3 linked regions of the Arabidopsis thaliana genome follow. The protein of the gene in region 2 interacts with the protein of the main gene of each other region in a pairwise test. Each region holds a gene or a part of one and is shown on either strand. Other genes may lie near its edges.

Region 1 (3,503 bases), on a different chromosome or scaffold from region 2:
CTAATTTAGAAAAGATTATATAAAACCGAAAATATTATGTAGTATGTATAATGTTACTATATATAAAATTAAACTATAAAATATAAATGTATTAGAGAATGATATAATTTGCAAAACTTTTATATATAAAAATAATTCTTAAATTTTAAAAATTACTTTTTTAAAAAAAAATCACGGGACGGGTAAAGAAATTATACAACAGGTTTTATTTTGGAATTGGATTATATGGTGGATGTATTTGAATCAATATTTATAAAATTTTAAAATATTATTAATATGCTGTTTTAATAGGGGTTACAACTTCAGTTTTTTAAAAATTGTCTCATGGATTCGTGGTATAGCGTTACTTAATAATAATTATAAACTGTAAAATATAAATATTTTATAAAAATAAAATTTGCAAATTTTAATATATATTACTTTTAAAAAATAAATCGTCCCGCGGTATATCGCGGATTAAAATCTAGTTGTATTTATATTGTGGGAAGACCTCCTCATGTGATGTTGGATGGATTGGTCTAACGGACCACTAATAATATATATATATATATAATTGGACAAGAACAAAATAAAACGGGAGAGTGAAAGCAACTTGTGGCATCTTTCACCACATCCTCAATTACATTCCATTCCATTCCAAAGGGCTTGGAAGACAATAAGACAAATCATGCATATATATTTCATTTAGATGTTCCCTAATATCCTAACAATAGTAACTAAATTCAAACGATTCACCACAAAACCAAGTACATATATTTATGGCATCAACCTCGGTCGTCACCGGCTTTGAATAACTTCCTCGCCATCAGACTCGTCAGACTCGTGCTCATCCTCCACCATCTCTTCATCATTCTCTTCCTTCACTACGACTTTCACCGCCCTCCATTTTCCTACCTCACCCTTTAAAACCCAAAACATTGATATAGTTAGCTCTAAACTATTACTTACAACAAAAATATATGTTATAGAAAAAGATAAAAGTCCAATGAGTGACTCACCCGAGGTAGAGGGGACGATGACCACCTTGTAGCTCTAGAGGAAAGAAGTCGGAACTCGTACATGATCCATGGAGTTATTGTCCCTCGAGGTTTTTTTCCAATAAAGAAAGCAAATGTCTTTCTCCTTCCTTCTAAATGAATACAATCACGACCACCAGCCTCCATTACTTCCTCTTCTTCACACTCTTCCCAATAACCGGATAACGTCTCTCTTCCCTTCCTCTCTCGCTCTTCCTTCTTCACGAAGTAATACACTTCCTTGTTCTTCTCTCCTACAACAAAAGTGTACGTACAACATTCACTAAACCACATTTTTCAATACATTTGACGTGATATGGTATAGTAATTATTAGAGAGAAGAGTTTGTAGCAAACCTAGCAAGTCCCATGGATCAACATTGCAAGAACGGAGCTCAGGGAGATCGAAGTCCATTGGACGGTGGAGGACCTTCTTGGCGAGATACTCGAACACAAGATCTTCATCATCGGGATCGAACCGAAACCCGGGAGGGAGTCTCATGCTTCTTCCGTTCATGGCAAATCTCTGCGCAGAAATGTCCATTGCTTTCTTATGAGTATCCTTTGTGTTTGGTTTAGGTTGTTTATATATACTTATGAGTGTGTCACCTTTAGTTTGGCAAAAGCGGATTCTGCTTTTCCTTTAGATACTTTTTACGTACTACTATTAATTTCAAGAGATAAATAGATAAAAAAAAATTGATAACTGCAAATTCAGAGATCGTAGATTGGTTTCATTTTTGTTTATTTAAATGCGAGGATCATCATAACAAATTGTGGTGCATGTACCCATGCAGTCAACGTTGTTAAGGTTTTGAATATAGCGAGTATTCAAAAATATCTTTATTTTTTTGGTAAAGATAATCTAGTTCCTTTTTCGTTTTCCTGGGCAAAGGTAATTATTTATTTTTTCAACCAAAACGAAATAAACAAGATTTAAGTTCCAAAAGCCTAGATCCACGCTGATTCATTACCATATAAGTACATTCAACATCAATAACTAAAACGAGCACATTTCTAACAATTGGCCCAGAACTAATTTTAACATGCATTTGAAATTTTATTTTTCATAAGCCGATCGGTTAGCCCAGGTAAAAATACACGTAAGTGTTTAGAGTGGATTTAAACCCGAAAAATTACCACAGTGTTTATTCCAAATCTGAAATGTTTTCACACCGAAAAAGAAAACAAACCTTTATGTTAGGGACCTTACACATGTTTAGGGACTAGTGTATATATCATCCATGTAAAAATATCCATGCGACCCTTTTTTTTTCTTATAGTAATGTCGGAATGATATACGAATTATAGATATGAATGTACATAAATAAGCGAAAGTTTTGGACGTACGTTCAACCTATAATTTTGTAGTAAAATCATTTCTTGGTATAAATTTATACGTGGAAAAGGAAAACTTATATCATCGAGGAATCAAAATTTTCTTTGTCTTTATCATTTGGCAAGTGAAATAATAATGTCGGGATACAATACATTTTTAAAACAATAAATTTAAGTAAATATGCATAAGCAATGATTAAGAAATAAGAAAAATATAAGAAAGTATATTCAGAAAACAAAAGTGAATTTGAAAGAGAGTCCAAGTCGATCCCAACTTAAAGATTTGAGAAGCTGACTTAACGAGTAAGTTATTAGATGTTGGTCTGACTCAATTTTCTACTCTCATGCACTTCTTTAATTTCAATTATTTTAGATAAATTATTGTATATATGTGTGTCTTTGGACTGGTGACTTGCCTTTTATCCTTCCTTTTTTTCCTTGGATCAATAAAGCTCCCAAAGCCCCCACCAAACCAAAGTTGTTCCAATTTTTTGCTTCAACTTTCCAGCATCAGCCTTTGATTTTTACAAATAGCATTTTAGGTTTAGTCCTCTTTGTATAATGTTATGTTTTATACACTAGAAATAAAGGTTACATAATTTGTCTTTCGAAAGACTAAGAAAAGAAAATGAAATGGATTAAAGATGATTGTTTCATTGTTAAGGAATCGAGATTAGTTTAATTGGTTGGAACTTGGAAGAGAGTATTCATCAGCTTTCTTTTGCTGAATCTTAATTCGAATGCAACATGACTAGCTTATATTTGATAAATATTTTAAATTGTTAACATCTAGCTTTAATTCTAGTCCAAAATTTCTCTATATAATTTTCATGTGTTGAAAGTAGGCAAAGCTCTATTTGTTTTATATTCATAAAGGATATAGAAAAAGCTTTAAATTTGTCAATTTAGAATCATATGTCTTACTCCTCCCACGCAGCATTTTGGATTTGGTACTTTTCTTCACCTCGAAGATGTTGGCTTTCCATTTCCTTTATTTGTTTGTTTTCAATCTTCTTTTTACTTTAGATTTTGATGATTTAGCGACATTTCTTAAGCAACGACATACATAAATGAAAAGTTTCATTTCTTTATAACTTAGTGTTGTCAATTGATGGTTGATATTGATATGGTACAAGCACCATCTTCATGT
Region 2 (3,761 bases):
ACAAGTAAAGACCCATCTGCAAAGCCATATCAGAAAGTGTTTGCTGATCTCCACGGCTAAAATTACGCTTAATTAGCATCTCTTGTTCTCCTCCTGTTTTCCATTGCTCAATCTTGTTCCACCATTCATTCTCATCAAGTACTTCCATCTGAGATAAATTATGACTACTTCATCATCTGATTCGAAATTATGTATCAATGTCTAATCGTTAAATTGAAGTAATGAACTCAGAATCTACAAGAACAATGTATCAATTACCTCAGCTTGTTGCTGGCGCAAACGCTCAGCTCTCCACACAGGATCCCACCATCGCTGTTCCCCCCGGCCGCCACCACCACCGCCACGACCGCCGCCGCCGCGTCCACCACGACGACCGGAGGAATGACCTCCGCCTCGACGACCACCTTGAGAATTAGGACCGTGAGGAGGCATAGCGGCGGTGTGAAAGAGAGGACGAAGCGGAGAGAGTTTGGAAGAAAATGGAAGGAGAAAGCGAAGCGTGGAGAAACAAGAGAGGGACTGTTGCATTCGTAATGAATATAAAGTTTGAAACAGTTTAAAGTTGAACTCGCACTGACGACTATTTTTGCTTATTGGAAAATTTTGTATTGAATTTTGTATTACACTATACAAGATAACACACACATATGATATGAGTGACTTAAACCTAATTTAGCTTCAACTTTCAACCATACATACACATTACACATATGAGTAAATCTAATATCATTAGCCGGAAGATATGCGCTTTTTGTGAAATTACTAGATCAACAGTATTTGATACATCACCAAACTGATAGCAAATTAGTAATGATGGAACTAATTTGTGACACCACCAAACTGAGTCAACTATGAGACTTGGACAACTTATTCCAAGAGTGAGTTAACAATAAAAAAACAATGTCAGGATTATAACATTTTTTTCTCTCTTATTATTTCTTCCAAACTTTTTATGCCTAGTAGTAAGTGTTTCCTTTATATATTTGGCCTAAGTAGCTCAATTAGTGTTTGAGTGTAATTTCATATGTTTTGAGTATCCGGCCCAAATATATGGCTTGAAGGTCATAAATTGTTTATCTAAATTCATATTGTTTTAGATGACATAGACTATAGAATATATGATTGGGAATCCGGAGCTATGGGTTTTAAAAGCCCATAGTTACTCTACTGATTGGGGAAAAAAAGAATTGAAAAATTGGAAGAGCGGCGGCAATAATTAAGTGTTCAATAACAATGGTGTATTCGAATATCAATTAAAATTCACTGAATACATTCATTCTTCACCAAATGAATCCGCCCCTGGATAATATACGTTCATTTATCTCCATTCTTAATTACATGTATATCTGTTTATATACTATCATAGCTAGTGTATATTAAAATATACATCATGCGAGCATGCAATGACGCATTTTCTTCATTAATAACAACTGTCCAACAGATTGTTTTCCATTATCAAAGATGCCTTGTGTTAGTAACTTGGCCGTTAAGTGAATGATTTTTATCCTATGGTAGTTTGCCAAAATATAATTTTATGTAATACAAATGTTAATGCCCACGACTCAATTGGTTAAATTTGGATTTCCTAGTATATACAAATTATTTACCTACAATTATATTTTATTTTATTGTCTTGCCACTTTTAGGAGAAAAACAAAACTTTATATTAATCTTCTAATATGGAGAGATTTCAAAGTTTTAAATATTCTAATACTAAAATAAGATAACACTGCGACTTTAAAAGCAAGTGAAGGAAACTAAACGTTGCTTAGGTGACATGATTGGACTTAAATAAGCCTGAATAAAGGAGATAACTAAACGTACATAAACAACAAGATTAGTATATAAGTACAACGTTGACTTCAAACTAATTCAGCGTAAACCTTCTCTAATCTTAGCCACTGGCCCCTCCCTACATTCCTAAATCAAATCTTAATACATGTCACACGTTAAATTCATTAGCCCTGTATCCAATTCAATTGTGCAACTAAGTGTTTTATGTTTGAAATAAACAACGAATTAATGGGTCAATATATTTATATATGCGTTATACTATTACAGTATTACCAATACAATATTAGAAAATTTATACATTGAATATTTTTTTAACCATCCACAAGTCACACAATTCTTGCTTTGCTTTGACAAGCTTTCTTATCCTCATTCACATGCATTTCCTCCCTTTGTCTCTCTCTCTCTCTTAGCGTTGACTTTTGATAACCCCAAGATGCTTCAATTTACATTGTCTTATATCAAATCGCTGACCAAAAACCTCTCCATTATTTCTCCTCTTCCTCCTCCCAAACCCATTAAACAAAACCATCAAACCAAACCCGCCATGAACAATTTCCAACCACCGCCACCGTCCGAGATGCCGGACTACAACGGCCTCCTCGGCACGGACGACATAGGAGGATTTCGATACGGAATCGGTGTCTCCATCGGGGTCCTCCTCCTCATCACCACCATCACCCTCACCTCATACTATTGCACACGTAACCAGCTCTCTTCTTCACCTTCACAAACCAACCAAGATTCAACACGTATCCATCACCATCACCACCATGTCATCATCGACGTTGTCCCCGGTCTTGACGAGGACACCATTCAAAGCTATCCAAAGATTCTCTACTCGGAAGCAAAGGGACCAACAACGGCGTCGTGTTGTGCCATTTGTTTAGGAGACTACAAGGGAAAACATCTGCTGCGGCAGCTACCAGATTGCAACCATCTCTTCCACCTTAAATGTATCGACACGTGGCTTAGACTCAATCCTACGTGTCCTGTGTGTCGGACTTCGCCGCTTCCAACTCCTCTGTCTACTCCCCTCGCCGAGGTTGTCCCTTTAGCCTCCTCCGTGGCCGCCACAAGAATGTCCTAGTGATTTGTTTATTTTATAACCGAAGAAATCGAAATCTTGACTAATCTCCGGCTTAAACTCGTTATTAATTCTTCTTTTAATTCCTTGTAAATTTGTTATTTTTGGTCACTAACTGATCACTGTATATACACTCTTCGAAGCCGAAGATTTGTAAGAGAAAGGAGGTTAAGGATGAATTTTTCACAATTTTGTTGGATTAGTTTTTCTTTAAGCAATGTGAACGAGTTTATCTATACATACGTACCAAGAAAGAGTAATTAAAGTCGTTTTGAATATTGGCAAATATGTTTCTTGGCTTGTATTGAACTTTGAGAGATCATTTTAAATATTGAGACGTCAAAGAAAAAAAAAAGAGTTTGAGGACAAGTTGGAACTTAAGATAATGGGATCGAATCAATTAGGCGTTTTTGATAGTCAGTCTGACAATCTTTCTCAATCATATGGTTTATTTATTAGCAATTTTTTTTTTGTTAAACAAAACCAGATATTTAACAGCGTATTTGTCTTATTGGGTAAACCGTTAGCCAATACATATGATGATATGAGAAAAAGACTTTTATGAGGACCTTAAGAAAAGATATAAAACGTTGATTAAGAGATATAAATCAAGAAGAAAAAAAACACTTGAAAACGATTGTTTTTGTCTCCAATCTCAAGCTGGCTGAAATTAAGTAGGTGAGATGATAAAAATGAGTTGACCATGATAAAACTACTCTTATCTTATTTAAAGTATTCGGTAAACAAAAATATTACTCCAAATATTAGGAACCATGATCGAGAGAGAAAACATGGTGAAAAGCTCAATTTCTCATTAATGATTCAAAGAGTTTGTTACAATCGTTTATAGTCAACAGACTCAATAACCAGAAATAACCAAAGA
Region 3 (3,761 bases), on a different chromosome or scaffold from region 2:
AAAAGTACCACTTCAAAGTATAAGGTCTCATGACCGAAAACAATCAAGGTTTTAACAAACAAACAAAGAAAACTCACTTGGAAGATCCATTTCTTGCTTTTGCTTTCTTCTATTGGAAATAACAAAGCCTAAAACAACCAATATTATTGTAACAACAGTAACAACAACTATTGCTGCGATTTTTCCTCCTGATATTCTACTATCTGCACAAAACACAACTCATCAAAAGCATAAATACACAAAAACCAAAAAAAGAAAAAAAAACAAACAGAAACAAAACAAGACAATTTTCTGAAAATGTTCCAACAAGGACTTTCCATTCTTGGTTATGTTGGCTATAGGAGACGGGGATGTAACTGAAGGCGGCGGTGACTTTGGTAAATTAATCTGATCAATAGCACCAGAGAAGGGATACACTTCCCATCGGAAAAAGCAGTTTGGCCTTGACATAACGCCGCCTTGGTGCCCACGGCAACAATTATCATAGTCGACAACGTTTTGCCGTAAGCAAGTGTTACAATCCTCTGACGAAACGTCTGGTGTGCATTGCATCAACGCTGATATGTTCTTAAAATCCGGCACAAGAGCTATATCGTCTGAGTAGTACTTAGACGAATTGTTCCCCCCTGATGAAGAAGAAGTTATTCCGGCGATCATACTAGAAGTTAAATTATTCCACTCGATATCAAACACAGTCTGATTCGTATTGAGTTCTCCTGTGTTGAATATCGCTCCTAGTGGATCCATGACGAGCAATCCAGAGAAGGGGCGGTTAGCGTAGCGAACAAGGCAAAGGGTTTCTTCACCTGACCAGAAGAAAGCATCTGCCTGGTCCAGACAGCTTTGTAGTAAACTCTCTGATGTGGACCTGATACAGAGAGAGCAAACATCACGCTCAGAACCTGGAGCGCACATCCCGGTGGCAAAGACTTGGTCAGGAGCAATCCCAATCGAACCGATGAAGTAGCCCTCCTGAGCCGTGACGTTAGAAGCTAGAGTAGAGAGGATGAGTCGGCGGTTCTTATCATAAGGACTATTGGGTATGAAAGTCCCAGTAGTATTGTCACAAGTTTGTGCAGAAACAGAAATTGCACTGAAGCTTATGACGAAAAAGACGAAGAAACAGAGGACTAATTCACAACTCTTCGTTGCCATTTTTCTTTTTTCTTGAGATAATGTGTGGGTGGTGTAGTTAGTATTTGACTATTTGTGGTTCTTAGAAATTTAATCATCAGTTTAAAATTTCCATTTGAATAACCATGCACATTAATAAGAAATTGACAACTTTGAAATTTTTGTGCTAGACTTGGACTATGTGAGTCAATCTTTGATATTAGGTTTTGGGGCTTATGAAAGAATATACATGTTAATCATTAGCCTCAATTTCAACGAGAGCTAAAAACCGTGATCGATGCATCATCTACGTACAGAACAAGGAAAAGACCTGCTAGTAGACATGCTTGGAGGATGTGAATGCATTTAATGACTCATATCTAAAAAGTCAAAACACGCAGAAAGAAAAAATTGTCATCTCAAAACACGCAAAAATGATCAAGCTAGATTCGATTTGTTTTCTCCACAAATAAGAAGCATAGTGACTTTAATTTTGTGATGTAAAGTGTAAAATGCTATTTTTCGGTTACGTAAAGACATCTTCGATGGTTACTTCTATATTTTCCTTTATTTTTGAAAAAACTTTATTTTGGAGATGATCATTAGAATACAATTCTTTTAAAATAGAGTTGAAAATGGTTTAAAACTTTTTTTTTTTTAAGAAGCTTAAATTACAGCGTAAATACAATTTAAGACAATATTTGCGGTACTCTCCTCACGCTGATTTTTCATGCTATCATAATTCTGAATTTCTGATGTCCACGAAAAAATAAAAATATAAAAATAATATCTTGTATTAGAAAATTGAGAGAGAGAGAGAAAAGATTCTTTTCTGACAAATAATATCTTATCATATCCAACTAAGTTAGGCTGTTTTTTTTCCTTTAATTCCTGACAAATAGTTTATTGTAATTTAGAAATCGTAACTACTCTCTCTTTGTCTTTTTTTAATAATAGTTATTATTTTGCGCGATACAAGTTTGACATTACAAAATAAAATAAAATAAAACCGGCGTTTACTAAGACTTGTTGGTCTCATAGAAAAAAGGGAAAAATATAGTTCTAGTTTCAAAAATTGAGAGCTACATGATCTGAAACCCAGATCGAGGAAAAGGAACCATGTCTTCTCTGATCTCTTTCATCTTCCTTTTCCTTTTCTCATCCATCACAGCTTCTGCTCAAAATACTTTCTACCTATATCATAATTGTTCAGTCACGACGACTTTCTCAAGTAACAGCACTTACTCCACCAATCTCAAAACCCTTTTGTCCTCTCTCTCTTCCCTTAACGCTTCTTCTTACTCCACCGGATTCCAAACCGCCACGGCGGGACAGGCCCCCGACAGGGTCACCGGACTTTTCCTCTGCCGCGTCGACGTCTCGTCGGAAGTTTGCCGTAGCTGCGTCACCTTTGCCGTAAACGAAACGTTGACTCGGTGTCCAAAAGATAAAGAAGGCGTGTTCTATTACGAGCAGTGTCTGCTCAGATACTCTAACAGGAATATAGTAGCCACTCTAAACACCGATGGAGGAATGTTCATGCAGAGCGCTAGGAATCCTCTATCAGTCAAACAAGATCAGTTCAGAGATTTGGTCTTGACCCCCATGAACTTAGCCGCCGTTGAAGCCGCCAGGAGTTTCAAAAAATGGGCTGTGAGAAAAATTGATTTAAATGCATCCCAGAGTTTGTACGGAATGGTTCGGTGCACTCCTGATCTTAGGGAACAAGACTGCTTAGACTGTCTGAAAATAGGCATCAATCAAGTAACCTATGACAAAATTGGGGGAAGGATTCTTCTGCCGAGCTGTGCTTCAAGATACGATAATTACGCGTTTTACAACGAATCTAATGTTGGAACACCTCAAGATTCATCACCACGTCCTGGTATGAACAGTCCCTTTCCTTTGACTACATATTTCAACACAAGTTTCATACAAGAATTTTGCTTAAAAAATTCTTGCTGTTGTTGATACAGGAAAAGGTGGAAACTCCTCTGTCATAATTATTGCAGTTGTTGTTCCAATCACTGTACTTTTTCTTCTATTAGTAGCTGTTTTTAGTGTCAGGGCTAAAAATAAGAGGACGCTTAATGAGAAGGAACCAGTAGCTGAAGGTAAGCACACCAGTGATAAACATATCTCCTCATAGAATGAATAGTCTGTTGTGCTCTTACTTAATTCAGCTGTTGAAGTTTTCTTTTCCAGATGGGAATGATATTACGACTGCAGGATCACTTCAGTTTGATTTTAAGGCAATTGAGGCAGCAACGAATTGCTTTTTGCCAATTAACAAGCTAGGTCAAGGTGGTTTCGGCGAAGTTTACAAGGTATTATTACCATTGAACAGAGCAATGTACTCTGTTTTTCCCCTGTTTCCAAATCAAATCTCACACACATTACTTCGAAAGTTGAGATGTATGGGATGAGTGCAGCAACCTTGTACTTGCAAAGGTTGTTGCGGAACAAAGAAACTCTAGTCGTTAATTATCATCCTATATTTGTAACAAATACTAACTTCTACTTGTATACTTGCATTTTGAGTACTTCATTTTCATGATTAATCTTACCGACAATTCCTATATACTTATGGTTATCTTAAAATAAATTACTCGTGTAGGGTACATTGAGTAGTGGACTACAAGTTGCGG

What was found.
Region 1: the proteins of AT2G35910 (region 2) and NAC097 interact in a two-hybrid assay, tested with the Arabidopsis thaliana proteins (one large-scale study listed by BioGRID).
Region 3: the proteins of AT2G35910 (region 2) and CRK19 interact in a protein complementation assay, tested with the Arabidopsis thaliana proteins (one large-scale study listed by BioGRID).

Annotation. Positions count from the first base shown.
Region 1 is NC_003076.8:20,677,281-20,680,783, reverse strand, and holds NAC097 (NAC domain containing protein 97), read right to left. Parts: upstream 1,563-3,503; 5' UTR 1,560-1,562; coding exon 1,373-1,559; intron 1,347-1,372; exon of another isoform or gene 1,311-1,346; coding exon of another isoform or gene 1,271-1,310; coding exon 999-1,270; intron 901-998; coding exon 778-900; 3' UTR 510-777; downstream 1-509.
Region 2 is NC_003071.7:15,072,345-15,076,105, reverse strand, and holds AT2G35910 (RING/U-box superfamily protein), read left to right. Parts: upstream 1-1,965; 5' UTR 1,966-2,227; coding exon 2,228-2,881; 3' UTR 2,882-3,219; downstream 3,220-3,761. Other genes in the region: AT2G35920 (RNA helicase family protein), read right to left, coding at 3-148, 259-528.
Region 3 is NC_003075.7:12,168,901-12,172,661, forward strand, and holds the start of CRK19 (cysteine-rich RLK (RECEPTOR-like protein kinase) 19), read left to right. Parts: upstream 1-2,116; 5' UTR 2,117-2,232; coding exon 2,233-2,998; intron 2,999-3,089; coding exon 3,090-3,227; intron 3,228-3,318; coding exon 3,319-3,440; intron 3,441-3,730; coding exon 3,731-3,761. Other genes in the region: CRK18 (cysteine-rich RLK (RECEPTOR-like protein kinase) 18), read right to left, coding at 78-203, 318-1,155.